4 linked regions of the Diceros bicornis minor genome follow. The protein of the gene in region 2 interacts with the protein of the main gene of each other region in a pairwise test. Links are inferred from orthologs where the notes say so. Each region holds a gene or a part of one and is shown on either strand. Other genes may lie near its edges.

What was found.
Region 1: the proteins of CCNDBP1 (region 2) and ILF2 interact in a two-hybrid assay, tested with the Homo sapiens proteins (2 studies listed by BioGRID and IntAct). The two-hybrid records come from large-scale screens. The link is inferred for Diceros bicornis minor from reciprocal best matches to the Homo sapiens genes CCNDBP1 and ILF2.
Region 3: the proteins of CCNDBP1 (region 2) and PSMB10 interact in binary tests that used the Homo sapiens proteins (3 or more experiments, as listed by UniProt). The two-hybrid records come from large-scale screens. The link is inferred for Diceros bicornis minor from reciprocal best matches to the Homo sapiens genes CCNDBP1 and PSMB10.
Region 4: the proteins of CCNDBP1 (region 2) and C14H6orf226 interact in binary tests that used the Homo sapiens proteins (3 or more experiments, as listed by UniProt). The two-hybrid records come from large-scale screens. The link is inferred for Diceros bicornis minor from reciprocal best matches to the Homo sapiens genes CCNDBP1 and PEX39.

The regions. Positions count from the first base shown.
Region 1 is NC_080743.1:57,899,404-57,906,416, forward strand, and holds the start of ILF2 (interleukin enhancer-binding factor 2), read right to left. Parts: upstream 3,017-7,013; 5' UTR 2,927-3,016; coding exon 2,922-2,926; intron 2,225-2,921; coding exon 2,165-2,224; intron 1,952-2,164; coding exon 1,909-1,951; intron 1,429-1,908; coding exon 1,324-1,428; intron 668-1,323; coding exon 590-667; intron 246-589; coding exon 143-245; intron 1-142. UniProt on the Homo sapiens protein: Chromatin-interacting protein that forms a stable heterodimer with interleukin enhancer-binding factor 3/ILF3 and plays a role in several biological processes including transcription, innate immunity or cell growth.
Region 2 is NC_080744.1:40,641,212-40,649,126, reverse strand, and holds the start of CCNDBP1 (cyclin-D1-binding protein 1), read right to left. Parts: upstream 3,021-7,915; 5' UTR 2,925-3,020; coding exon 2,816-2,924; intron 2,640-2,815; coding exon 2,580-2,639; intron 2,291-2,579; coding exon 2,211-2,290; intron 1-2,210. Other genes in the region: TMEM62 (transmembrane protein 62), read right to left, coding at 3,914-4,240, 6,892-7,010. UniProt on the Homo sapiens protein: May negatively regulate cell cycle progression. May act at least in part via inhibition of the cyclin-D1/CDK4 complex, thereby preventing phosphorylation of RB1 and blocking E2F-dependent transcription.
Region 3 is NC_080771.1:19,682,529-19,690,239, forward strand, and holds the start of PSMB10 (proteasome subunit beta type-10), read right to left. Parts: upstream 3,006-7,711; 5' UTR 2,676-3,005; coding exon 2,326-2,675; intron 2,105-2,325; coding exon 2,017-2,104; intron 1,929-2,016; coding exon 1,831-1,928; intron 1,722-1,830; coding exon 1,581-1,721; intron 1,346-1,580; coding exon 1,230-1,345; intron 1,120-1,229; coding exon 1,061-1,119; intron 401-1,060; coding exon 249-400; intron 122-248; coding exon 10-121; 3' UTR 1-9. Other genes in the region: LCAT (phosphatidylcholine-sterol acyltransferase), read right to left, coding at 3,930-4,504, 5,490-5,714, 5,806-6,110, 6,190-6,346, 7,055-7,208. UniProt on the Homo sapiens protein: The proteasome is a multicatalytic proteinase complex which is characterized by its ability to cleave peptides with Arg, Phe, Tyr, Leu, and Glu adjacent to the leaving group at neutral or slightly basic pH.
Region 4 is NC_080753.1:22,728,971-22,734,981, reverse strand, and holds C14H6orf226 (uncharacterized protein C6orf226 homolog), read right to left. Parts: upstream 1,231-6,011; 5' UTR 1,072-1,230; coding exon 832-1,071; 3' UTR 505-831; downstream 1-504. UniProt on the Homo sapiens protein: May be a peroxin involved in the PTS2-mediated protein import pathway.

The sequences.
Region 1 (7,013 bases), on a different chromosome or scaffold from region 2:
CTACCCACTTGATGCCAGTAGCCCAAAAATGTCTCCAGACACTGCCAAATGTCCCCTGGGGTGCAAAAGAGAAGAAATTTGGGCTTTAAACATCCCTACCCAATTGCTATGTTCTCCCGTGGGCAGAAAGAGGTACACTCACATGTTGGCAGAATCTTTAGGATTACCACTAGGTCGGCTACATTGTGTCCTGTAGTCATTGTTCCTTTTTTATATGATCCGACCTGTCGGACTTCTTCAATTTGCTATTGGAAAAGGGATTTCAGGAAAAAAAATTAGAAGTGAAAAGACTGCCTCTCAGAACTCAATTACAACATAGCTTCCTGTGACCCAGATTTGAAGTAGCAGAGGTCAAGTGATATCCCCCAAACAACCAAACGAAAAGCCTGATACATCACGGCTAGCTGATAACAACGATATAAGTCTTGTCCCCATAATCAGTACTATAAAGGAATTCCAGTGTAGTTTCCCATTTTCGGCTTGGCTTTGGATAATAGGCAACCAAAGAATTAAGAGACAGGAGCCAAGGAAACTTCCACACTAGCAAGGCTGCCCTTTCCTAGGACTAAATAAATCATCAAAAACTCACCACTTCAAATGTCCCTGGAGCCACAATCAAATTATCAATCACATTGTTTATTTTTGTCACCAAAGAAAGGATAGAAGCCTGAAAAACAGCAGGAAACAAAAATAACCTAAGTTGAAAAATTACGAGCAACTTCTCAGAATTTGAATATTTTCCCCTAATCCCTTCCATACAAGTGGAATCAATACTGATATAGGGCTTTGAAAACACTCTGACCCTTCTGGCCTTGAATATGTCATAAAAGAACAAGTTTTTGATCCCAAAGATAGATTCCTCAATAAAAATATGAATGCATATGTAACCTGTTTATATATTCATCTGGCAGTCTCCCTCCACTCACAATGAGAAATAAGAACAATTCAACCCACCGTGGAGTTTAGGCTCTGATAACAGTAACCTTAACCTCACCAGCAGTTATTCACTTCTCTAGCTTTCTTTCTTTTTTTTTGGTGAGGAAGATGATTAGCCCTGAGCTAACATCTGTTGCCACTCCTCCTCTTTTTGCTGAGGAAGATCAGCCCTGGGCTAAGATCAGCATCCATCCTCCTCTACTTTATATGTAGGACGCCTGCCATAGCATGGCTTGATAAGTGGTGCATAGGTCAGGGCCGGGGATCCAAACCTGCAAACCCTGGGCCACTGAAGTGGAGCACACAAACCTAACCACTACACCACCATGCTGGCCCCTTCCCTAGCATTCTTAGTGAAATCTCAGGAAGGAAGCCAAAAGAATATACCTGTTCAGCAGAATTAGGAGCAAGGTCCTGATTCCTCTTCAGCAAGGCTTCGCTGAAGGAAGTTTCATCAGGCGCTGGCTTGACCCGGGGGAAGGCCATTTCACACTAAATCAGAAGTAAATAATTATATACTATTTACCAAAAATAATATACAGGGAAGATTGTTTTTTTCGGTTGCCGCAACAGAAAAAACTGAAAATAGAAAATTCTACAACACCTGTCTACTCAAGATGTTCAAACAAGGATGTAAGCTACAAGGAACAGCCATAATTTAAGCTCTCACTACCTTTATATTAACAGATAAGCCAGAGATACAATTAATTATTCAGAACAAAGATTACAATCACCTTACTGCCAACAGTAGCCAAGGAATTATCTTCCCCACCCTCCTTACACTGTGTTTGTACTTAAAGCAACACACAGCTGACTCAAAACCCCAGCTCCACTCACTAATCCCTTTTCCTACTCCAGCCACTATTCAAGACTTCATTGACAGGGAGATGCTGGGCTCCAGGAAACTACAAGTGAAACAGTGTCCAGGCTCCATTTCTATGTCTATAGGTGAACAGGGGCCAAGATACTCACCAAATAGAAATCAAATGGGATATGTGGCACAAAGGGCCTGAACCTAAAACAAGAAAAATCCAAATTATTCACCACAGAAATCAAGTGACTTAGCCTAATGGGGCCAAACTCATTTAGCAGGAGAGGATGAAAAGAAACGTTTCTAAACCACAGCTGGATCTCACAAAAGCAGGTAGCATCAGTCCACTCCAAACTCCTATTTAGATGACTGAAGTGTAAATTAAGCAGTGCAGAGATGCTAAAAACTGACACTCACCCTCCTCCTGGGCCGCCTCTGGAACCAAAGCGACCACCACGACCTCGGCCTCTGTCACCCCTAGAAATGCATAAATAGATTTTAACCTGTTTTGACCTGTTGAAGGCATCTCCACCATACCGGTCAAATCACTTCAAGTTAGCCTGCCTCCACCGCTCCGAACTTCCCTTTGGAAGCCAAGAGACCCCATTCCCACCTACGCTTCTCCCCATTCCAAATGCTCAGCCTCACCCCCAGGACCTCCTCATTCTGGATAATTTAGTCACAACTCCACCCAAACATAATGACGGGCTCAAACACTGAACCCCTACAAGAAATACCCCATGACCCCTGGAAGACGCCAATCCTAATACCTGAGGCACTAAAGTGAGTGCTCATTTATTATTAACGTAGTAAAACATTTAGCGGGCATTTCCTATGTCAAGCACTTGGCATAGAATGAATGAGGCACGTTCCAGACTTCCCAGCCTAGATGGGGGTGCTTCTCCTGGGACCCGAGGACACCCCTCATCCAGACCCCTCCAAAACCGAGGGGCCGACCGCCTGCCCGCTCCTGCGCCCCACCCCCAGCCCGGGCCCAAGTTTCCCCGCCCCCGCAGCCTCCGACCTCCCCTACTCTCCCAGACGAGGCCTTTTCGGTGTTAGGGCAGCCCCCAGACACGTGGCCCTTTCAGCTCCTCCGACTCCTTTCGGCCCACCTTCCCAAAGTTTTCGGTCGAATACCCGACACCATTCTACAGCACCCCAGTGCCTTTACCTCATGGCGCCCTAAAACCCGAACAATGGAGGCCACACCAACCGCCCCTTTCCTCGGAGGAAGAGATAAATGGAGAGGCGGCTTGCCGGCGTGTCCCAACAAACTCCGGCGCGATTGGCTCCCGCCTTACCCCGCCGCTTATGCCTATTGGTCTACAATGGCAAACTGGCTTATGAACCAATACAAAATGCTGACTGTGTCAGGATCTAGCCAATAAGAACAGACTTAACAAAAATGAGCATTTTTATTCAACCAGACACTAGACGGCGCTGTGTAAAGAAGGCAGGACGGCTAACGCGCTAAAAACTTTCTATAGAAACCATGAGGCACCTTCTCTCCAGCTAGCAGAGTGGCGCAGCGGAAGCGTGCTGGGCCCATAACCCAGAGGTCGATGGATCGAAACCATCCTCTGCTACAGGCGTGTGCTTTTTCTTCTCAACTTAAATTTTCTCAGTAAAGGTAACTGCCCTCCTTTTACTTTTTCCTGCGTCAAAAATGCAGCGTTTAGAAGCTGTTTTTGCCATCAGCATGTGAAATAGGGGAATAGGAAGAGACTTTAAACAACAATAAACACTACGTCTGGGTGTAGTTCACAGAAGGCTAGAAACTCGAGGCAGGAGAAGCGGATTTGAGAAAAGGAGGAAGTATATTGATGGAATCAGAGGGGGAAAACACTGATGGCGACGGACTAGAAGGGAAACCGAGGCAGCCTTTAGAAAGAGAGCTCAGAAAACGAGAGCAAAAGAAGTGGCAAGGAAAGAAGGACGCGGCCCACCCATTATTGCCTGATTTCCCCCCAATTTCTCTTCTTTCCTCACTCCACAAACTCTCTGGCGTATTTTACCCTTATATGAGGTTTCACCAGCCACGTATACGGATATACTGTATTTGCATTTAAATCAATCATATTACTATGTGCTTTTCGTTTCTTCTGTAATCCTTCTTCTCCTTCTAGCCTTCTTTTGCATTGGTTAATATTTATTATTCCTTCCCTGCCTCTGTTAATTGGAAGTTACGCACTTTTTCTACTCTTCTAGAGGTTACTCTAAAAATTACAACATGCGTCCTTGACTTAGCAAAATCTAATTTTTGGTAACATTTTTACCCTCCTGGTGAAAATGCAGAAATAATTTAATTCCATTTACCACCGTCACTCCCTCCAGAATTATATACTATTGCTGTTGTGTAATTCTTTTAAGTGTTTTATTGATGTATAATTTACTACAGCAAAATGCACAGATTTTAAGTCTACAGCTCCATAAATTTTGAGTAATGTATTCTGTCCGTGTAACCACCACCCAGATTAAGATAAAGAACATTTTTATCACCTCAGAAACTTAGCTCATACCCCTTTGCCCTGCCCCCAAGGCAATCACTATTCTAGTTTCCATTATCATAGATTAGTTTTGTCTGTTCTTGAATGTCACACAAATGGACTCACACTGTATGTACTCTTTTTTATCTAGCTTCTTTTGCTTGACACGTTTCAAGATTCTCACATGTTCTTGCATTCATCAGCAATTTGTTCCTTTTTATTTATGAGTAGCATTCTATTGCATAAATATACCACAGTTTGTTTATCCATTCTCCTGTTGATGAACTCAGGACCTCCAACTGGCTGAGACACACAGAAAACATTTGGGTTGTTTCCAGTTTGGTGCCATTATGAATAAACCTGCTAGGAACAGTTTTGTACAAGATTCTTGTGGTGAGATGCACTCATTTCTCTTGGGTAGGCGTAGCTGTATACGTGTACAGAATTTAAATTCTGTAAATACTTTCAATCTCACAAGACATTAATGCTTATTACCTAAATTAGTGGTCATTTAGATTTACAATCTGTGTGTGTGTGTGTGTGTGTGTGTGTGTGAGGAAGATCAGCCCTGAGCTAACATCCATGCCAATCCTGCTCTTTTTGCTGAGGAAGACCAGCCCTGAGCTAACATCCGGCCCTTCTTCCTCTACTTTATATGGGACGCCTCCACAGCATGGCTCGACAAGCGTGCATCCCTGCGCACCAGGGATCCAAACCCAGCCGCCAGCAGCAGAGTGCGCACACTTAACCACTACCCCACGGGGCGGGCCCCCTACATTCACAATTTTTAATGTTCTTTATTTCTTCCTGCACGTCCAACCATTCATCTGGAATAATATTCCTTCTGCTTGAGAATTCGTGCCCCTCTGCTGGTGGCTAACTTTCTCCATTTCAGTTTGTCTGAATACCTCTTTATTTCACCTTTGTTTTTGAAGGACATTTTCTCCAGATATGGAATTCTAGATTGGAAGTTATTCTCTTTCAGCACGTTTACAATATTATTTCACTTTCTATGGCTTCCATTTTTGCTCTGAAAAAAAAAGTTCTCTAGCAATCTAATGGTTGCTCCTTTGAAGGTAATCAATCCTCTTTTTACTATTTTAAAGATTTCATCTTTGATTTAATTTCCTGTGATTTCACTCTGATGGGTCCAGATATGGATTTTTTTTAAAATCTTACTTGGTTTGTTGAACTTCCTGAATCTGTGGCTTGATGTATTTCATCTATTTTTAAAGTTTCTCAGTTATTGTCTCTTCAAATATTGCTTCTAGTCTTTTATTTTCCTCCTTCCTGGGCTCTAAATAAATGTGTGTCAGACTTTCTCACAGTATCCTCCATGACCCTAACCCTCTCTTTTATGTTTTTCACTCCTTTTTATTCATGTTTCATTCTGGGTAGTGTCTTCTGTCCTTTCTTCCAATTCATTACTTGCTCCTAAGTCAAGTCTAACTTGCTGTTAAACCCATCGATTGGTTCTTAATTTTGGTTTTGAATGTTTTGGGTCCTCATGTTCTATTTACTTCTGATTTACCCTACTCCTAGGTTTCTAGGAGTGCAGCCTTTCAGGATTCTAATGAAAAACAGGAAGGCAGTTTACCAGGTTTTCATCTTTTTTTTTTTTTTTTTGGTGAGGGAGATCAGCCCTGAGCTTACATCCATGCTAATCCTCCTCTTTTTGCTGAGGAAGACCAGCTCTGAGCTAACATCTATTGCCAATCTTCCTCCTTTTTTTCTTCCCCAAAGCCCCAGTAGTTAGTTGTATGTCATAGTTGCACATCCTTCTAGTTGCTGTATGTGGAATGTGGCCTCAGCATGGCCCGAGAAGCAGTGCTTCGGTGCGCGCCCAGACCATACCCGGACCACCAGTAGCGGAGCACGCGCGCCCAACCGCTAAGCCACGGGGCCGGCCCAAACCAGGTTCTCATCTTTGGGGAAGTTTGGATTCCAATTTTTGTCTCATTTGCACCACACAGCCTATTTTCTGCCACCAATTCGGATCAGCAAATGACCCCAGGGTAAAAGCAGTCCTACTGCTGTCTCATCTCTCTGCTTTCCTGTCCTTTCATGCTCTCACACCAATAATTTCTCAGTCTTATTAGTTCTTTGATTTTTTAAAGTATTTCATCCAACATTTTTAGATGTCTTCAGCTTGAGGATTGGACAAATTATTTAGTCCACCATTGTTGAAAGAGGAGCTCAACTACTAAATTCGATTTCTAGTCTAGTTTCTCCTGAGCTCCAACTCCACTAATCCAATGGCCTATTGGACACCTCCACTTGGGTATCTACAGGTGCCTCAAACCATCTAAACTAAAATTATCATCCCCCCAAAATTTGCTTCTTCAGCTTCTCAACCAATGGGTCAATGTCACCTAGACTTCAGTTACTTGTATACTGTCTCTCTTCCTGAAGTCCAAATGATTTTACTTCCAAAACATCTCCCTATAGTCAACAATACTGTACTATGCATTAAAAAATTTGTTGAGGGTAGATCCCATGTTAAGTGTTCTTAGCACACACACAACATATACACAAAAGGACACAAGGAAACTTCTGGGGGTGATGGATATATTTATTACCTTGATATTGTGGTGATGGTTTCATGGGTATAAGCATATATCCAAATTCATCAAATTGTAGACATTAAATATGTACAGTTTATGGTATATCAATTATACCTCAATAAAACTGTTTTTTAGTCTCCCAATCTCCTATATACATCTATAGCCTCTGGAGCCCCCCTTACAGGACAAAGACATTATGCCTGTCACACAAAA
Region 2 (7,915 bases):
TGAGTATTGCTTTCACACAGCACCATCATAAAGTCAAAAAATCGTTAAGTTGAACCATCGTAAGTCGGGGACCGTCTGTAGTTGTGTTCGCACCACAAGGGCAGAGCTAAGCAGTTGGCCTGCAAAGCCTAAAATATTTACTATCTGGCCCTTTACAGAAGAAGTTTGCCAACCCTACCTTAGACCACTAACCAGGTGTCTGATCTCTCTGTCTCGCCATCTGTCTCTCTCTTAACAGAATCACAGTACAGTCATATGCTGCATAATAATGTTTCCAACAATGACGGACCACAGTGGTCCCATAAGATTAGTACTGTAAAGCCTAGGTGTGTAGTAGGCTATACCATCTAGGTTTGTGTAAGTACACCCTATGATGTTTGCACAACAACAAAATCGCCTAAGGATGCATTTCTCAGAATGTATCCGTCATTAAGCTAGTCATGACAGTATACCTAAAGGTAATTAGCATGGACTCTACAATGCTCAATGCTGACTATTTTCCTTCTAAGCAGTCACTGGCTTTCTCTTATCTTCCTTGTCTTCGCTTCTCTACTAAACTCTAAGCCAGTGCTATGCAAAATTGGTCCACAGATTGGTGCTAGTCCATAAACGGTTCATCACAGTCTAGGATGGATAAGTACGGTGAATGAGAGCGTTCAGAAACTTTTGTGGCAATTTGACACTGCTTCAACATCCAAACATAATTTTATAAAAATACCAGTCCATATGGACTGGAATTAAAAAAAAAACAAAACCATTCTTCAGTAGGACTAACATGCTGAGATTCTAAGAAAGCAATTGTGATTCAAATATATATAATTCAAATAAAACCAAATTCTAATTTTTCATCCATGAGTGAAACCACTGTCCTGAGCATGTACAGAAAAACAGTTCTATGCTGCCACCTCACGGTATCTTACTAGCTATAAATTTTAGCAGCAAGTCCTAAGTGTATTTGAAAGAAAGGAGTCAGCAGATTGAAGGTAATACTACTACTCCTTTTGAAATAAATATTGACTTTCACAAAGCTTTTAAAGTGCTCTCATACAATTCATCTCTTGTTTCCTCATCACAGATCTCTGAGGTATGCAGGGGGAGAGAGTTTATCACTGTAGATGCAGCAAAAAAGTTTTTTTTCATTTCAAAACATCTGAATATATAGATTGAGAAAAAGAAGGAAACTACTGACTATGGAAACCAAATATGGCAACGAATATGTCATTCTAAAATAACCCTACTCCCAAATTAAGTACATCTAGCTCTAGAAAAACTAGTCACAGCCAACATGTTTACTTTCATTAGTTTTATAATAAAGTTATTATAGTTACAGTTATTAAAAATGCATACATTCTTTGTTCTAGCAATTCCACTTCTGAGAATTTTTTTTACAGATACACACACAAAAAAGACTGTAATTCACCACAGCACTGTTTATAATAGTTACAAGTTGGCAACAGCTTAAATGTCTACTTAGAGTATTGTCTAAATAAATTATGGTTATATCCACTCTATTGAATACCATGCAGCCATTAGAAAGACCTGAGCAACTTTATATGTGCTGCTAAGAATCAATTTATATGTGCTATGATTGATAATTTTTTTAAGAAAGGAAGGTCCAGAAAAGTGTTTATGGCATCCTTTCATTTGTGTAAAAAGAAGCATAGAATATATATGGAATAATACAAAAGTAACTGGGGAGGGGAGATATAAACTTTTTAGCACACAACTTTGATATCTTTTGAATTTCACACTGTATACATATGTTACTGATTAAATATAAGAAATAATACAACACAAAAAGGGTATTATGTAGCATAACAGAAAAGGCATAGCCTAGACATCAGATAGACTCTAATTTAAATCCCATCTCCACTGCTTTTTTACCTTAACTTGAGCCTCTGAGCCTGCTTACTCATCTGTCAGATGGGGATCATGCATGTGAAAACACCTAGCAAATAGCAAGTGCTTAAAAAAATTATCAGGAAGGAGATGACCAGGATGAACTTCAAATTGAACCAATATTTAGAAGACTTTCCCACTCCATGCCAGGTACTGCACTTGGCAATTTGGTCTTCGCAACAATCCTGAAATCTTATTTGACAGGTGAGAAAAATAAATTCCCTGGCTTAAGTGCAAAAGGTGGAAAGAAAATGAGAGCATTCCTAAGGAATAAGGCGGCAGCACATTGATTCCAGGAAGGTAAAGCCCACCTGTGGAGACGGCAACGGAAGTCGAGAAAAGGCTTCGGTCAGAGTCGTGGCTTCCCTTGACACTTTCACAGCGGCCTCATCTAGGGGTGACAGACGAGGAAACAGGAGTCAATATGTTAGCGCTAAAAGGATGATGCTGCAGCTGCTGCACGGACTTGGAAGATAACGCGCTCCCTTCTCCACCCCTGCCGGCTGAGAAGTCTCAAAAACACCTCCAAAAATCAATGTTTTATATCAACCCCTGAAATGCCGAGGATGTACCGGTAAGGTGAGGTATCCCCACAGAGAGGATGCGGCGGGGGGAAAGCGAGAGGGAAAGGGGTCGGGACGCTGGAGGACATGACAGATGGGAACAGGAGAGGCACTCACTGAGTCTTCTCCAAAACGTCTCCCGATTAAACTCCTTGGTGGTCTCCTGGGCTTCACCGACTGGTGGGCGAGGCGTGTGGGCCGGGTAATGGCAAAAAAAATGGCCGGGTAAGCGGAGCCACCTCCTGCCCCCACCTCCTCCGCGCGGGCCCCCGCCTCCGCCGCCGCCACAGCCTGGCCTCTCCCCCACCCCAAGCGCGCCCCTGCCGTCGCCTGTCCCAACTGCGTCAGCTCACCCCGCACTCCAGGCAGGAGCAACCGCAGCTCCCTTGCTAAGTGCCGGAGCTGCTCCAAAGGCGGAGCCAGGGTAGAGAATGCGGCTGCAGGCGCAGCTGCGCCCGCCATCTCAGTAGACCTCCTAGAGCCTGCAGACAAAAGCAGCCAAGGCAGCTGCCCGTGTCCCACTGCGGTAGCCGCTCCACTTCCGGGCGTCACAGACCGGGATTCGCTTCCGGCAACAACCCGCCTCCCCGCCGCCCCGCCCCGCCCCAAAGGCCCGGCCACACCCCCTCCGGTCCCCAGAGGCCCGGCGAGGCCTTCTTCCGCCCCAGAGGCCCACCCACGCCTCCTGCCATCCCGAGGCCGAGCCACTCCTCCTTCCGCCCCAGAGGCCCGGCCACGCCTCCCCTCGTCCTCAGAGGCCCGGCCACGCCTCCCCCCCCGCCCTCAGAGGCCCGGCCACGCCTCCTTGCGCCCCAGAGGCCCGGCCACGCCTTCTCCCGCCCCAAAGGCCAGGCCACGACTCCCCCTCCCCGTCCCCAGAGGCCGGGCCACCCCTCCTTCCGCCCTAGAGGCCGGGCCACACAAGCAAGGACCTCTCTGAGTTACTTCTTATTCGTTATTCATTTATTTGATTAGTTGAAAACACCCCCGACTAAGGGAGCAGAGAACCCATAACCCTGCGGGAAAAGAGGACTGGGAGCTAATATCTCAAGCGTAGTCAGGGTCGGGCCCAAGTTCGCAGTGGTTCTCCGCCCCTAAAGTGGCACCCGTAATGGCTGCTGAGTTCCAGACACTGTGCTAGATACTTTACATGAGGTAATCTTAAAAAACACACTCGGCCTCAGATACTCCCATACACCCAGTCCCTGCCGTGTGGATCTCCTAGATTAGGGCTTTCTCTTCACAAATGTAAATCAACCCTTTGCCTTCTTGGGGAAGGAAGGAATCAACATCATTTAGACACTTTTCTGCAGTCCATGCTGCAGAAATCAGTAGTGGGTAATCCCCCCAACTCCCAACCATCCAAGCAGCAGCAGCCCACCAATACTGGCCTTTCACCTGTTGCTGGGGCAGAGGCCTGGGCTACTGACAGGCGGGTGGTGAGATGGCCTTCAGGAGCTCAGGTGGCTTTTTAACTGCACTATGAAGGTTCCAAGCTCAGTAGAGTTCAGTGTCCACACACAACGAATGAAAACAGGTGTCAGCAGTGTCAACCAGGTCCGCAGTGGGGAGAATAAAAAAGCTAAAGTGCCATACGTCATATGAAGAACATAGCAGGAATAAATCTGCCAGATGTACAGCAGTACCATTAGCAGGTGAACAAGTATGACTTTCAAGTATCTTCCTTGACGGAGATGAGACCTGAAGTTGTGACCAAAGCACCGCTGCAGCAAGCTCCAACACAGGTAAGCCATCAAGGGGATGTTAAAAAACACCAGCTGGAAAGAGAAGCAGAACAAACCATTTGCTTAATAGCAAGCCCCTGGAGGGGTGGGGTCTCACTAACACATTATTGGTGGCTCCTAAGAATATGTTGCTTTCTCTCTTGGGGGTTAACTCTCTGATTCTTTAAGCTTCAATCACATTTGCATATAACACAACAGTTGACTTGTAGTTAGCTGTATATTTGCCTGTATCCTTCTGTTCATCTTAAAGGCAGGTATCATTTCATTTATGTTGAAGCCCTCAATAATGTTTAAGGTAGAAATGAATTGAATATGTGCAGGTCAATATATATACTTGGGGTTTTTTTTTTGGCACAGTGAGGGAGGAACTTGGGTGTCAATATTTTTTTATCTGTATTTTTATTTGAAGTAGCCTGATGAATACTAGAATACAAATTAAAAGATTTAAGTTATAATAAGGTTAGCTGCTGTATGATTCATTCATTCATTCATTCACCAGATAATTATTGAGCACTCATTATGTGTCAGGCACTGTGCTAGCTCTAGACTAGGAACATACTGGTGAACAAGTCCGAAAAGATGCATCATAGAGGTTACATTCTAACAGGGAGAAGAGAAACCAAAAAAAAAAGATAATTACAGATTGTGATAAATTCAATAAAAGAAATAACTGAGTTATGAGAGGGTAATTGGGAGATGGAAGGACTGAAGCCTTCCATCTCTGAAGCCTGAAGGACAGGAATGAGTCAGTGAAAGGAAGGACATTTCAGGCAGAAGAAACAATGAAAAGCAGTCTTGGCCTATTTAAGGCCAATAGGCCTGGCACAAGATGAGCCAGGTGGAAAGGGGGGCAGTCAGCAGGACCCAGATCATGTCACTGCTCTGGTTAAAGGGTTTTAAGCTGAGAAGTGAGCTGATTAAGGTTTTAAAAGGACCACAGTGGATGCTCTGTGGTGAACTGATAGTAGAGAGGCAAGAGCAGCAGTGGGAAGACCAGTTAGGGGGTTAGTGCAGTAGCCCAGGCAAGAAATAATTATGACTTAGACTAGGATGGCGTAACAGAGATGGAGAGAAGGGTGGATTCAAGATATGTATTGGAGGTAGCTCAAACAAGGTACTACTTGCTGATGAACTAGATACAGGGTATGAGGTAAGGGGAAGAATTGAGGATACATCCTGGAGAAACTAAGTGAATGGTGGAGCCATTTATTGAAATTGGAAAGAATTTGGGGAGGAACACAGGTTTGGGGGTAGAAATTAAAGGTCTTATTAGAGATGTAATATTAAGTTGAGATGGCTTTTAGATATCTAAGGGAAGATGTGAAATGGCAGTTGGATATATAAGCACTTGAAGTGCCAAGAAGAGGTCTAGGTCAGAGATGTAGATTTGGGAGTCATGGGCCTACATGACACATAAAATCCGTTATTAGTGTACTTTTATTAAAATATAAATATATACCCACCTTTCGGTAAGGATCAGGTTTTACTTGGTATAAGAGTGCTCCACACACAGATGGAGGGCCAGCCTCCATCTACATAATGGAAAACTGAACTGGACCCGGGACCTACTCACATATACAATGTGTACAGAGAATGTTGTACAGCTGCTGTACAGAGAATGTTCTGGCTTGTAGTCAGTGTTTGCTGGGCAGAGGTCTTCCCTAATCCTGCTGATCATGTTTCACTATCCTATTACAAGGCTGTGAACTCATTCTGAACAATGTTTTTGGATCTCTTCCAAAACATCAGATCATCACTTCAGATTTTGGTCCATTAGCCCCATTAGGTGAGTAAAATAAATTGTTAGGTAAATAGTTTTCAGACCTATTTATAGAGATTTGCTACAGGTCAGAGTTTTTTGTGTTGGAATCTTTGTGGGGTTTTTTTTTTTTTTTTTTTTTGCTGAGGAAGATTAGCCCTAAGCTAACATCTGTTGCCAATCCTCCTCAGTTTTTTTCTTGAGGAAGATTAGCCATGAACTAACATCTGTGCCAGTCTTCCTCTACTTTATATGTGGGTTGCTGCCACAGCATGGCTGATGAGTGGTGTAGGTCCGTGCCGGGATCCGAACCAGAGAACCTGGGCCACCAAAGTGGAACGCACCGAACTCAACCACTATGCCACGGGGCCAGCCCCTAAAGGAATCTTAATCCAAGTGTAAATCTAATGTATGAGTGTTTCCCAAACAAGTGTACTGCTAAGACATCACTAGAAAGCCAAGTCTGGTTTTTGCCCAGTGTAGCTTCCAGTGGGTAACTGACCCGCTTTTCTTGTGCGTCTGTTTTTCCTTTCCTCCCTCTGAAACATTTTCCTTCTTCATTATCATAATCAATTTTGGTTTACTCAGAAGTCTATCATTTATTCTACCATAAGTCCTTTATTTCAGTTTTTGTCAATGCAAAAGCACAGTGAAACAAACAACAAAAACAAAAACCTCTTTCACCTCTTATAAACTCTGCTTGCCAAAAATGTATTTTAGATATTTACAAGACAGTAGTGGAAGAAAGAGCTTAGGAAGCACTCTAAAAGCAAACAAAACACCAGATATTAAAGATTGCCCTGCCAGTAAATTAGGAAACATGATCTATGGTGTTTAATTTGGGATTTTGGATTTAATTTGTAACTGTTACGCAATTAGTCCAACAAGGCCAAGATGTTCTTAAATTGCATTTCTGACTTCTTACCTGAAGAACTCCAACTATAAATGTTATGCTGCCTTGTAGGAAATGTCCATCAACAAAGATCCCAAAGGAAAAGCAGCAACCCAATTTGCCCTTAATGATTTCACCAACAAACCATGGTCCTGAAAGAAGCATTGGACAGGAAAGGAGAAGATTAAATAACTAGGACTCTGATTATATACATCATGAGATGCACTTATACGAATAACAAAGAAATATGAGACTAGTCATCTATAAGCATTTTATTTGCATAGCTTTTCTTCTTTGCTAATCTCTTTGTTGTACCCAATGTCCCAGCTAACCAACTGTTTGCTCCTTTGCTCCATATTTCTCTGGATTCTAAAATCATGTGAGTACATGCTATACCTGGAATAGATTCCAGAAACAGACTGGAGTACCTTCACAAATTTTAGAAAATTCTGTTGCAATAATAACCTCAATATAATGCATTAGCATTTCCTTTAAGAAGCAAAGAGGTATTCCACAAAAGTTAATTTTCCAGATAACTGAGATTTACTCCTTTAAGCAATAAAACTTCAACCATTGTAATCTTTCTGAAATGCACTTCTTCTTTCTTATTAATATTAATGAATGTATTTTAACCTTTTCTTGCTGACCCACAGTCTTTACTTTGTACATCAACTACAGATTCAGGGTTAACGTGTTAACTTGCTTCTTTAATTTTTCATCTAGAATGCCAGAATGACTTTTCTCTCCTCCCTACTATTATTTACTTCCCCTTCCCAGTGTGCAGGTTTCTGGAAATACTATACTGTCAAGAGTGATTAAGGGACAGTCAGACATCCTTTCTCAAAATGCAAATATCATCATTTGCTGGTAAGAGTAGAATTCAGCTTTAAAAAGTCATTGGTAATTTTCTCAGATATATATTATATAAACGCCATTAGATACATATTAGCCTAAAAAAGTGTTTTTCCTTCAAGTTTCAACTTTTAAAAATGGAGCAACTTCTGCCCTTTTAATGTTTTCTTTTACAGCCAGGAACCAAATCACGTGCTTTGCCTCC
Region 3 (7,711 bases), on a different chromosome or scaffold from region 2:
CAGCCTACTTCACTCCACCTCCATGGCCTGCACAGTTTCCTCCAGCAGCTCCAGGGTCAGCGGCGTCACTGTCTGGGACAGGACAGCTGTGGTCCCAGGGGCAAAGCGGTACTGGCTGGGCCTGGGAGGGAGGAGGGATGGCCTCTCAACATGGGCCCATCATGTAGTCTATCCTCTTCTTGTAGCCTTCTATCTCCCCTGCTACCACCCCATCCTCCCCTGTGGTCCTCCATCTCCTCTGTTCCCACCTCTCTATGGGCTTTGTGGGCGAGCTCAGTGTTCGCAGCAGCTTGGCACCGGTCCTTGTGATCACACATGCATCCACACTGCCCCCAGAGCCCAGGTCACCCAGGATTCCTGCAGTGATGGCTTCCACCAGCAGCTCCTGCGCGGCCTCCAGCTGTGATGATGATGTGTGTGTGAGGCCTGATGGACCCCTCTGGTATCACCCTCAAGCTTCAGCCTGGAGACCTTGTTAATCTTGAAGCCCAGACTCTTTACATTTGCTCACACCTAAACTCCTCTGTCCCCCTACACCCCCATCTCAACCCCAAGCTCCCCTCCCCTGGTGTCTGCCTCCATCTCTCCAGAGACCTCATGTTCCCACAGCCCCATCTTCACAAACTTCTCTGAGTCACACTTATGGCTCTGCTTCCAGTGGCCTGTCCACCCACCCAATGTAGTCTTGGTCCCTGATCTACTGGCTCACTGCATTTTTCCTTCTGGGCCTTAGGTACCTCTGAAGCAACATACGTCATTCGCTTCCATCCCACCCCAAACAAAATCCAGACGCCAGACCCCATCTTCCGTTCCCTCCTCAGCCCCAAAGGGTCCTCTCCGAGCTTTGACTTCTCCCGGCAGTCCAAGCTGTGGCACTGACGTGGTCTGTTGGAATAGCACTTCTCCATCCTCACTCCACCGACCCCTCAGTCTCCACTCAGTAGTCACCTCCGAGACGCCTCCCCCGACCTCCAGACTAGGCCAGGGTACCGCTGCCTTCCCCCAGCTCCCAGGTGCACTTCCCACCAACGAACGCGTAGAGGGGGTAGATGTCGCTCACCGTCATGTTCGGTTGGAACCGGTCCTCCAGAACCGCCAGGGCCGCGTCCTGGCCGGAGCCTGCAGGCAAGAGAGGCATCTGAGGTCAGCCGCGGCTGCCCCGTCGCGGGACAAACGTGAGGCCAGAGTCACAGGGGCGGGGTTCGTGGGGAAAGGGCGAAAACGCTCACCGAGGGCCGTGAAGGGCAGACGGCTGTAGGAGCCGTGGGGGTGCACGCCATAGAGCTGCGGTCCTGTCAAGTCTACGCCTCCCACGATCAGCGACGCGCCCACGTGGCCCTGGTACCTTTCGGCGGAATGGGCGTGGTCAGCAGCAGGCACAGGGCTCCCGGTCCCGCCCCCCGCGACACCGCCCCTGGATCAGAGCCACACCCCTTCTTGTGGTCTGGCGCCCTCGACTGACACCGCTCCTTCCTGTTGCCCAGCTCCTCTTAGGCCGGCCTCTTCCGGTCTCCCGGGACCTCGCAGCCCCGCCCTCCCCGCAACAGCCTCTCCCCTGGGACAGCATCCCGCCCCAGCACCGGAAGAGCGTCTGGCGCAAAAGGCGAGTGACCGTGGTCACACGGGGCTCGCGGCCCGTGGACAGCGCGTGTAACTCCATGTTGGACGCCGCCATCCGCGTGGTCATCTCGGCGTCCGCGGCCACTCCAGCCCCACAGCAGCTGAAAGGGAAGGGAGGGTTGGTGTGGGCGGGGCTAGGATGTGGGGGGGCCGGGGATGGGAACGAGGGGGAGGTTCTTGCGGCGGGGAACCCGGCTGGGGAATTCTCACTAGATTTTGGGAGCGATGAAGTGGATTTTCTCGCAGTTCTTGTCCGCCACGACCGAATCGTTAGTGGCCCGCGTATCCGCGCCCAGGATGACCCCGTCCTGTGGATGGGGAGGGGCTGCTGGCTCAGTGCCCGCCGGATCCCCCCAGCCTCCCCTGTAAGCCCTCCTGTCCGAACCCCCTGCTCACTTGGAACACAAGGCCCGCGATGGTGGTCCCGGTTTTGCGTGCATGAGGGACCCGGAGCCGCGGCAGGACGCGTTCCAAGGATGCGTTTCTGAAAACGGAAGGGAGTGGCCCAGGTTACGGTTCTTCTTCTGGGTTCGCCATCACATCCGCTAACTCCGTCTCCGTCTCCCTCACCTCCCGGGGTAAGCCTGGGAACCCAAGTTGCCAAACACACGCTACCCTCTCCTCCACCAGGAATAAAGGCCCTGGGGCTTCCACTCCCGGAAGCCTTCACTGGCAGCTCGGCACCAACCATTTCACCCCCCTCACCTCTGGCAGTTCTCGAAGGAGAAGCCCCTTCGGGGCTCTAGCGCTGGCTTCAGCATCTTGCGGTGGGCAGGGCGGTCCGGGGGTTGGGGTCGATGGTCGGACGAGTGGCACCAGCGTGGAGCGAGAAGGGCCACGGTCTTGGCCTCTGTTGGGTTCCACGTCTGACGCTTCCCGCTTTCGCTTTCACCCTCTCTCAGCGCACACCGGCCCTTCTCTGCATATTCTCTTTCACTTTCACCTTCACCTTGGGTCCTAAGCAGCTTGGGAAGCGGGAGATGTCCCTTGCCTGGCTCTCCATTGCTGCTTCCCTGTCCTCTGAACAGAGGGTCAAATCCTTTCCTTCTGGCCATTGTTCCACTCCTCCTCCCCCTTCCAATCTGAGTCCCTAGCTCTGCCTACCCTGACTGGAACGCTAACCTCAAGTCTCAATGCCCTAAGGCTGTCACAGTGGCCAGGTCTCTGTCGTTATTGGTACTGGCCTCCCAAAAGCATCGGGTATGGCTACCTTTTGTCTTTTGTCACTCCCCTTCTCCCAACTCCTGCCTCTCTTTTGTTGCCTTTGTCTCTTCCCCAAAACCTCAAACACGGAGGCTCAATCCTTGGCCATGGTGACGCTGATCCATCTTCCCTCTCTTGGTGTGCTGTCTTCCTGCTCTCCAGAGGGACACAGTGGCTGTCCCTTTAGTAGCCTGGAGGCATGCTGGGCTCTACGCATGGCCAAGCTTTATTTCACCTCCCAAATGACCCTTTATCTATCCACATCTTTCTCCTAACTACTGCTTTAGTCTCAGCTAGCATCCCCTCTCCCTTAGACACTGCATTAGCCTCCCCAGCTTCCCACTTCCTGCCCCCCACCTCCCACCCCAGGCTACACTCTACCCTGCAGAGAGGGGGCTTTTTCTAGATTGAAAACCTGGTCACACTCTTTCCCTGATTAAACCCTTCAGCAGCTGCACATTACTCTCAGGCTCAAACCCAAGTCTTTATGGTGGCCCGTGTTACCCTTCTCATCCCATCTGATCTCAGCATAGGTACCACCTCCTCTGAGAAGCCTTCCCTGACCCACAAGACTCAGCCCCTTGTTGCTCCTTAAACTTTTCTCTCAGACCAGTTAGCTCTGTTAATAATTAAACCTTCATTAGTGAAATGATCTGATTAGTGGCTGTCACTCCCCCAGATTCTAAACTCTTGTGCTTCTGTCACCCACCTAGCACTCACTCAAAAGGCCCTGTCTAGAGTGGGGGGGGCGTCTCACCTGCCCTTTTGGAAGCTGAGAGGCACAGCTCAGATGTTCCCTGCCCTGCACGCTTGGCTCCATGTGCCCCCATCCCACAGCTGTGTGCGCAGCTGCCTCCAGTCCCCACGCCCAGAGCAGAGGCAGGCACAAGGCAGGCTGCCCAAACAGCTCAACCAGGGGAGTGGGAAGCTGTACATCACAGGGTGCTCAGTTCAATCCCAGGCTTTAGCAAAGCCCATCTTGCCCTATGTTCCACAAAGCACTAGGCCTGCGGCTGCTGATGAACAAACCCTGGTGTGTGGACCATAGTGCCTCCCCCTCAACCCACAACACACATGTCAGAGCTTACAGCAGCAAAAGAAGGTCTTTATTCAGGGGGCAGGGGCCCTGGGCTGGCAGCTGGGGATGCAGGGGTGCTATGTCGGTAGTTACCCAGCAGGATGGCATTAATGTGCTCTAGTGTCTGGTTGCTGAAGACCATATTGAGGTGCTGTATCCCGTGCAGAGGCAGCAGGTGCACAGGCTGTGGCTGGCGGCCCTGCCAGCGGGCACAAAGCTCAGTGCTGCGCGTGGCCACAGTGTCATCACCGTCCTCATAGAGCACACCCACGGGGTCTGTGTAGGGGAAGCCGTGGTCAAAGATGTAGGTGCGTGGCGTGGGGAGGCCCACACCATACAGACAGTATACTTCCACACCAGGTGCTGGGAGTCCTGCCAGCAGGTCACGTGACTGTAGCCACATGTACCAGCCTTCCTCAAAGTGCAAGTCTGTAAAGAAGCGCTGGAAGTCACGGCCTGTGTAGTTGAAGCTGGGCGTGGAAATGAACACATGGTCCTCAGGCCATGCCCGGCTGGAGGGAAACATCCAGGGAGAGGTTGTTGTCATGCGGTGCTCCTCTTTCAGCTTGATGCTGGACATGATAGGGATGCCCTGGTTGTCACCTGTGGACATGGAGCAAGGTGGGGCAGGGAACCAGGCCTGGCTACCCACTGCCCACACTTGCCCCCTAGCCCAAGCTCAGCTGGATGCTCAATCCAAACACTGATTCCAAGCCACATACTAAAGTAGGCCTGGCATTCAGTAGGTGTTTAATGTGTGCTTATTAAATGAGAAGCTCTGATGGCACTTCTGTGAGGCAGAGCTGTAGGGCCTCAAAAAGAGGGTAAGGAGGGGTTTCCTAGGGATGACTGTGTATGTGTGAATGGTGGGGGGATGGTGCTGGCAGTTCTCCCTCAGGCAAGTGTCTGTCAGCCCCTATGGCCTGTGCTGCACAGGAGTCAGAGCTGTGTTCTGAGAAGGATGAAATGAGACCGTGGCTGTGTTTGACATTTATTGATGTAGTCTAAGGAGTGTTTCCCTCACCAGACCGTGAGCTCCTAGGGGGAAGGCCAAGTCTGGCTATGCCCAGCATACAGTGGGCGCTCAACAGGTGGTGGCTGTGCCACTCCTCGGGGAAGGCCAAGTCTGGCTATGCCCAGCATACAGTGGGCGCTCAACAGGTGGTGGCTGTGCCACTCCTCAGGGAAGGGCAAGAGGGGCTTCTAGGGTCTGGCCCTGGCTTTGGAAGATCTGTCCTCAGTAGGGCAGATCCCTGGGCAAAGGGGCTCCTGGGAGAAGGCAGCTGAAAGCTGGGAGGCCACAAGGAACAGACCTAGGGCAATGAGTCAGATGGCTGGGGTTCACTTCCTCTTTCTTCCCCTTTGTCACCACTAAGACAGAGTCTGGCAGGAGCTGTTCTAATGGTCCAGGCCAGGCTCACTGCTCTCGGGGTGGGGGGGCTAAGGGTGGGGGCCATGCCCCAGGGGTGGTAGACAACAACCCCAGCCTGGCATTATGAGCAGAAGTGGGAGTGAAGGCAGGTCCATAGTCAGCTTCATTCCACTCCCCAACCTCCCACAGGATGCAGGTGAACCGATACTCTCTCACCTGAGGCCAAGACCAGCATGGGCTTGATGGAGCCACCCCAGGGAGCCCCAAGAGAGATGAAGCCATCGATGAAGCGGTCCTTCCAGGACTGGGGCTGGCGCAGCAAGAAATAGAGCAAGTGCAGGCAGCCAAGGCTGTGCCCAATGAGGAAGACAGGCTTTCCGTAAGTAGCATGCATCTCCTCCACCAGCCCAGCGAGCTTCCCAAAGTACTCCTCTTGCTGGCCTGCGGGTGGGGTGGGTGGAGGGGGATCAGGGCAGCTGGAGTTAGGGGCCACCTGCCCCACCCCGAGCTCATCATCCGCAGAGATACTCACTGGGTTCCAGCCGCCAGTCATAGGGGGCGGCCCGCACTGTCTCGTCCCGCGCATACCCATTGTTGACCAGATTCTGCACCAGTGTGTGCATGTAACCTGTGGGGGAGGCAACAGCATTGGGGGCTCTGACCACGGCTCCTGTGGGCCCACTACAGCCTAGAGTCCCACTCTTTTCCCCAATACACACACCTGCCAGCTTGTTGTCGTCCAGGTACTCAACAGAGTAGGTCTTGCCAAAGCCAGGGACACGGATCTGTACACCGGGGGCGTTGGACACACGCCCAGAGCTGCGGTTGTAGACAACCCTGGGGGCAGTGGGACAGTCAGCAGGCCAGCAGCAAGGGGGCAGGGTGTAGGGGCTGGGGCAGAGGGGATGGCACTTACCTGGTGTTATCGATCCAGCAGTCTACCCCAAGGGGTAGGAACATATTGAGATCCAGCCAGACGGTGAAGAAGTCCTCTGTCTTGCGGTAGCACATCCAGTTCACCACATCAGGTTTATCCAGCTTGGCTTCCAGCTGATTCCCCAGGCAGCCAGGCACTGCAGGCACTAGCCTTCACTCTGGATTCCTCAGATTTCCACCCCAGTCTCATCCCCCACTGTAGTGACCAGCCTTGCCCCTTCATCTTCCACACCCTTAATCCCCAGGGACTAAAGATACGATCCTCTCTTTCTGATCATACCCCCACCCCATCCCCCCAGCAGCCCAAAGCCCAGGCTCCCCTCAGGCAGGAAGGGTGCAGGGGCCAAGGCCACTGACCCCTGCCCCCACAAAGCAAACACCTAGCATGGTTCTCCATTACTGCCAAAGTCCAAGGTGAGAACAAATAGGTATGGGGGAATGGGAGCTGGGCCTAGGAGTAGGGGGCAGGCCTTGATAGGCTTCCCTTGCTCTCCTGGGCTGGTCATCCTGTCCTTGCTGGGGTTGGGGCTGAGAAAGGAGTGGTGGGCTTGGCCCAAGGTCCAGTGGCTGTAGCTCACCACAGCTTGTAATGTCCTGGCCAAGCCCTCAGGCACGCCCAGCCCCCACTCCACCCGCCTGGGCTAGACAACTCAGAGACACAGGAAGTGTGGTGGGGGAAAGGGTTGATTTCTCTGCAGCACAAACCTTTGGCCCCTCCAACCACTGAGGCAGGTATCAGGGCTAATGCAGGGGCAGAAAGGCCTTGGCAGGGTCTGCTATCAGGGACTGGGGCCCAGGCTCCCCAAGGTCTGGCCTGGTGCATCAGGGGCCTAGCGGGGGCTTACCGAGGATGACGGGCCGTGTGTGGTTACTGAGCTCAGCCTTGGGCGTAGTGTGCGGGGGGAAGAGCACATTGAGGAGCCAGAAGGGGGTGGCAGGAGGGAGCAGCAGCCCCAACAGCAGCAGCACCCACTGCCATGGGGAGCCGGGCGGCCCCATTCCAGCCCTAGTGCCTACTGCCCAATGAAGCAGTCCTGGGCTGGCTTCATCTGGAGTGAGGGTGGGAGGGGCCCCAGGGCTCGTGGGAGGGGCAGCCTGGCCAATGGGGGTGGCCAGAGATTGCCGGAAAGGGGCACAGCCTCAGGGAGCTGGCTCTGGGTCGGGGTTCAGTTCCGCCTTCTTCACTTGGTGCCAGGAGAAATAGAGCCGGGGCAGCAGGAGGCCCAGAAGTGCACAATGTTTTATTGAAAAAAGTCAGGCCTCAGCTGGCTGGCTCCCTTTGGCTGGGCTTGGTGGGGGTCCCTGCCCACAGTAGCCTAAGCCAGGTCTTCCTGCAAGTGGGCTGGGCCAGACCCCTTCCCTTGTCACCCTTCCCCTCCTCTCTGATGGTAACATCTGAACAATAAATATGCAATAAATAGCACTCCTGCACCGGCTGCCTTCAAACCCCACATCAGCCCCCACCAGTCTTATCCAGCCAGGGCAGGCCTCCTGGAGTGCTG
Region 4 (6,011 bases), on a different chromosome or scaffold from region 2:
ATAACCTAGTTTCAGGAAGCAAGAATAGGTGCAGTGAGCCACATGGCCTCTTGCAAGAGACTGACTGCAGAAGGTGGTCGTGGGAGCTTTTCCTCTGCTCTAAGCCCATAGCCCCTTGCCTGACCTGGCTGGTTCCCAGAGCCAAGGGTTCTAAGGTTTGTGTTGTTTGTTGGGATTTTTTTTTTAATGCTTGAAATTTCGTTCATTTAATGTATCTTTGAAGTCATTCTGGGGCCAAGTTTTATCATCAAACCTGTTACTAACTGCCTGTCTGGAGAATGGCCGTCTAAAATGGATCCCGTATTCAGTTCCATAGCCACCAGAATAAACTGAATCAGGAGATAAATACTGATGTTCTTGTACATTCCTAAGAAACTTCCCAGTGGGTCAGACCCCTTTAGTGTATCCCAAGGAGCATTTTTAAAGTGAAAACATATTTATGCATCGCAGATAGTCAAGTAAGTATGACATTTGTTTCAATTACAAATAAGGACTGAAACAGGATTTAAAAAAAAAAAAAATTTAATGAAGATCATGGTTAAGAAATACGGATACAAAACAACCCCAATGATGCTCCCAGGAGGCTTAAGTCCAGTTGAGACAGGTCAGGGCGAATGCACAAAAGATGAGGAACAGAGTGGCCAGTATCCAGGGTCCGAGTTTATACAGGACGCCGTCACGCTCTCCAGATCTCGGCTCAAAGGACCTCGAGCTTCAGGAACCCACTGCGTGTCATTTAGGAAGGAGTGGTCGCTGCCTCCCCGGGGCCGGGCCCCTCCAGGCGGCTCCTCTACCCGTACCCGAGGGTCCGCGGGGCCTGGGGCCTCGGGTCTAGGGCGGGGGCGCGGGGGCGTCGGCCGAGCCCGCGGCCTCCCAGGGCTTGGGCCTCCGCGGGAGCCGGGACGCCGTGGGCTCGCCACGGGTCGCCGCGATGTGGCGCCTCTCGAGGCCCGGGAGCTGCCGGCCCTGCTGGACCAGCTGCAGGAGCTGCGCCAGAGTCACGGGGGCCGGGGCCAACTCCTCGGGCGTGGGAGCGCTGCCGGACCAGCGCGGACCGCCCTGCCGCTCCATGTCTGCCGGCGAAACCAGACGGCCTGTGGCGAGGCAAACACTTCCGGGTGGCGTGGGAGCAACCACCGTCAGAGGAAATGAAGGGGGGTCGCAGACCAGACCACGCCGGCCCAGAAAGTGGGGAGCATTGAGAACCAGGACCAGCTCCGCGCAGGAGCGCTTCACACACACACACACACACACACACACACACACAATTTAGCCCACCCCAGAGCCTCCAACGTGGAATGTGCTTTAGAAGAAACTTGAAGGCTTACACCGACCGGAACGTGCATGCCGACACGCTGATGCAAGCAGAAAGACCCACGTTTGCACAATAGGCACCGCGCACATACCTACTTCCATGCACACGCAGAAGTGCGCACGTACAGGGACACGTGCATGGACATATGGGGGGGGCGGCATAATCTCCATCCCAGGCTCCGAAGCACCAGACAGATAATGGCTGCGGAGCTATCTCCAGTGGCCTCAGGAGAACTGGGAATAAGTGACACCACTGCAGGGCCTGGCCACTCTTCCCATTTCCTGCCATCCAGACTCTGCTCTTGGTGTTCCCGAAAGGGATGAAAGGAGATGAAGGCAGGCCAGGTGTGCTGCAGTCCCTCTGACTGCTTGGAAGATCAGTACCAATATTTCTCAGGTTTCTATCAAAAGCTAGCCTGATCTTAATCAGGTAATCCAAGTTTAATTATTATTAATAGGACAAACTGGCATCATGTGTCTCCTGATGGGAGGCACTGAGAAGGATACTACAGATGTAGGAATACTGCGTCTCTTCTGTAGTATTCCTGCTGACAATGTTCTCTCTGAATCTGATCTTGAGGAAATAGACAAACCAAAGTGAGAGACATTCTGCAAAATGACTGGCCTGGACACTTTGTAGATGTCAGTGTCATAAAAGACAAAGAAAGAAAGAAAAAGAAAAGACAGGAACTCTGTCAGATGACAGGAGATACGAAACATGCAAATTGTGATCCTGGATTGGATCCAAGATAAGGGGAAAATCAACTATAAAGGACTTTTTCCCCTGGGGTAAATTTGAATGTGACATGTATATTAGATGATAGTGTTACATCAATGTTAAATGTCTTGAGTGCAGTCATTGTGCTCTGGTTATGTGGGAGATTGACCTTGTTCGTAGGAGATACATGCTGAAGTATTTAGGGGTGATGTGTCAGGAGAGAGAGAGAGAGAGATTGAGAGAGAAAGCAAAGGTGGCAAAATTGCCAAGAACTGGTTAATCTAAATGGTTTGAAACTTATCAAAGCAAAAAGTTGGAGGCAGGGCCGGCCTGGTGGTGCAGTGGTTAAGTGTGCGTGCTCTGCTGTGGGGTCCCGGGGGTTCACAGGTTCGGATCCCAAGTGCGCACCGATGCACCGCTTGTTAAGCCATGCTGTGGTGGCGCCCATATAAAGTAGAGGAAGATGGGCACGGATGTTAAGCTCAGGGCCAATCTTCCTCAGCAAGAAAAGAGGAGGATTGGCATCGGATGTTAGCTCAGGGCTGATCTTCCTCACAAAAAAAAAAAAAAAAAGTGGGAGGGAGGGAGCTTGAGAAGCCGATCTGGAGGAAACTGACCACACTAAATGTCACATCATAAAGAATTTGACTGGCCTTTGTCGCTGGTTCCTGGGAGGGAGACAGTAAATCCTTGAAACTTCCCAAGTATTAGGAGTGATATTCATGGTGAGCCCAATAGTTTATGCCAACGATGTAACTCATGGTGGCCCCTGAGTAGTTTCAGGACTGGGGCTGGCCACACCAGAAAGACAGACCATATGATTAGACGGTTGGGGCTTTGAGCCATGTGAGGTCCAGGGAGGGAGCCTAGAGATTGAGTTCAGTCTCCAGCCAATGATTTAATCAACCATTCCTGAGTAACGAAACCCCAATAAAACTCTGGACACAAAGCACAGTGGGGCTTCCTAGTTGGCAAACACATTGATGTGTTGGGGGGGTGACATGCCCTGATTCCACGAGGAAAGGGCCCAGAAGCTCTGCATTGCCCTATGTACCTCTTCATTTGGCTGGTCTTACTGATTTGTGTCCTCTCTAATAAAATTGTCATCATAGAATAGCACTTTCCTGAGTTCTGTGCATTGTTCTAGTGAATTATTGAGCCTGAAGGGAGTCATGGAAACCCCCCAAATTTGTACCCAGTCAGTCAGAAGTACCTGCAGCCTGGGAACCCCTCTGAACTTGCAGCTGGCAACTGAAGTTAGAGCAGTCTTGTTGGGGACCATGCCCTCTAACTTGTGGGGTCTGCACTAACTCCAGATGGTTAGCGCCAGAATTGAACTGCGGTACACCAGTCGGGGTTTTTAACAGAATACTGAATGAAGGAAGTTCATCCTTCTCTGTGGCCTGCATCCGTTTCCTGGGCAATCTCGTGTAATAGGGCAATTCTCGCCCTAAGGATTCCCCCTAACTCACCAGGTTCACTTTCTTCCTCAGATGCCCTGGCCCCACTTCCACTCCCAACATCCTAGCTCAGGGCTCTGGTGTTCTGCTCTGCCATTTCCTTCTTTCCTACCTGCCAAGGGCAAGATGAAAACATCCCTATGAGGTCAAAACAAACCTTGGGTGTCCTTCTAGGCACAGTAAGGACCAAATTTTCTCAGATTTAGGGAGAGTGACATGTATGTGTTTGGTAAGTGGGAAGTTGTCTCAGCGTCATCATTTTTCTTCTCTCACATTCTTTCATTTTATCCTCAGCACAACTCCCTAAGAGGGGCAGTATGAGCCTAGGAATCAGGGATTGTCAGGAGGGACCTCAAACACGGTTGAGCCCAACACTCATATACAGAGCAGTAAACCAAGCCCGTGAAAGGGAGGAACAGGGCTAGGGTTGCAACCTGGGCCTCCTGACTCCCCATCCCAGGCTGCCTCCCCTTTTGAGGCACAGAGGCCCCCACCCTGTGGGCAGCCATTCTGAGCCTGTGCACTGTCACAGATGTGCATGCAGAAGGCAAGGAGGCAGAAGAAGGAAAAGTGAATAAGCCCACAGGCAGGGGCAAAGATGTCTCCTGTCCAGGCTCGTCCACAGCCCCTCCCTGCATCAGCTAGGACCCCAGGAAGCCAAAGAGGTCATTTCAGCAGGGGGTGGCAAGGCCAAGTATCAACCTCTAAGTGTAAAAGATAGGTTCCAAACACCTCTAAGCTCATTTATAACTCATTAGACATCTTTAATCCGTGATTTTTAAAATTCTATCTCAGCAGGTAATGCCCTCCCCTCTCCCTCATTTATTGAAACTCAATTTATCCTTCAAAGGCTTCTCCTCAGTGGGCCCATCCCTTCCATCATTGCCATCAGAATTAACTGATCCTCTTTCTGCGCTCCCACAGTCCCTTGCTCATCTCACTATCCACACGTTGTCTCTTAGATTAGATCATGAGTCCTACTCATTCATATCCCTCTGTGCCTAGACCAGCAGCTCAGAAACCTAGTGGTGCTCAGAAAATGTAAACTAAATGACTGACTGACTGACTGACTGAATCTATTGTTATAAACTCAAGGAGAAAAGATCGAATTCAACTCAAGGCAAGCATTGACTGAGAGCCCACCTTAGCTGTGCACAATGGCAAATGCTCGGCATACAAATCTCCATCCTTAAGCGGCTCACAGCCTACCCAGGGAAAAAGTCACAGAAGACATTATGATAATTATGATATACATAGATTATATAATTTATTACATAAATAATATAGCACGTATCTGGTGCAGTTACAATGTTATGTGCCAACTGAAATAAGCAGCCCACACATCATACTGGTTTTGAAAAGTATTTGATCTTATCAGCACACATGTGTATGAGCTGCTTTTATGGTCAGCTTGTCAGCCTGCAGGGCTGGCTCAAGCCTGATTCTGGAGCCAGACTGAGCCCAGGTCCTAATCCCACCTCTGGCACTTATGAGCTATGGGACTTGAAGCGAGTTATTTCACTTATCAGTGCTTCAGATTTCTGTCTGTGGAACGGGAACGGTGATAGAGCCTGCCTCACAGGATTGTCCAGCAGATCAAATGGGATAGTGGATGATGCCCACAAAGGCAGTTATTAATATTCTTGTCAGATGGGTAGTTTTGCTGGCTCTCTTCTGTTGGCCCCTCCAGGTCCTCTCTCCACCCTTGCCCACCCAGCCTCCTGGACACTGACATCTACAGACACCAGCAATAGGCTCCCTCACCCTCTGGCTTGTGGGTTTGGCCAACGGGGGCATCCAGCAGAAGAAAGGAGGGGAAGGGGGTCAGGGTATTGATTTCCAGTTTCCCTCCCTACAGGATCACCACTGGCTGCAGGGTCCCTCCACACAGCTCTCTGGCTTTGGGGCCCTGCCATTGCTCCCTCCCCTCACTCCTTCAGGCCTGATAATAGTCCCAGGTACCGCATTGTCCCTCGGGATTTCCCTTCACCCTGCCACACCTCTGTAAATAGTCCTTTTATTGAATCCTCCTCAAATTACCCAATATAAGTGTGTCATCTATTTCCTGCCCATACTCACCAATATGGGGATGGGTTCCAAGAGCAGCCTCAAACAGGATACTGGAATTGGATTGATCATAAACTCAGGGAGTACAGGGGAAGCCTCTTTGCAGAGGGGGCAATGCACCCAGGTAATCCACTGCATGTAAAGGTATCACCATTACTCAAATTATCATTGGGGGTGGCATGGGATGACACGTAGGGTACTGCATTGTTGGGGTGGCGAGATGGGAGATGAAATGGCTGTGGCTCTTCTTCACTATGGCATGGAGTCATTTGGCTTCTGATGGCCACAGGGAACATGCAGAGGGGAAAGGAGAACTGGGAGTTATCGATGTCTGCTGGGAAATGTGAGTGAGCAATCAGGACACCTTGATGGCACCTGGAAGGAGTCCCTCATCTCCTATAGTCAGAGAGGGCTGATATGCCTGAGGAGTGGCCTGGGATGTCATTGTAAAG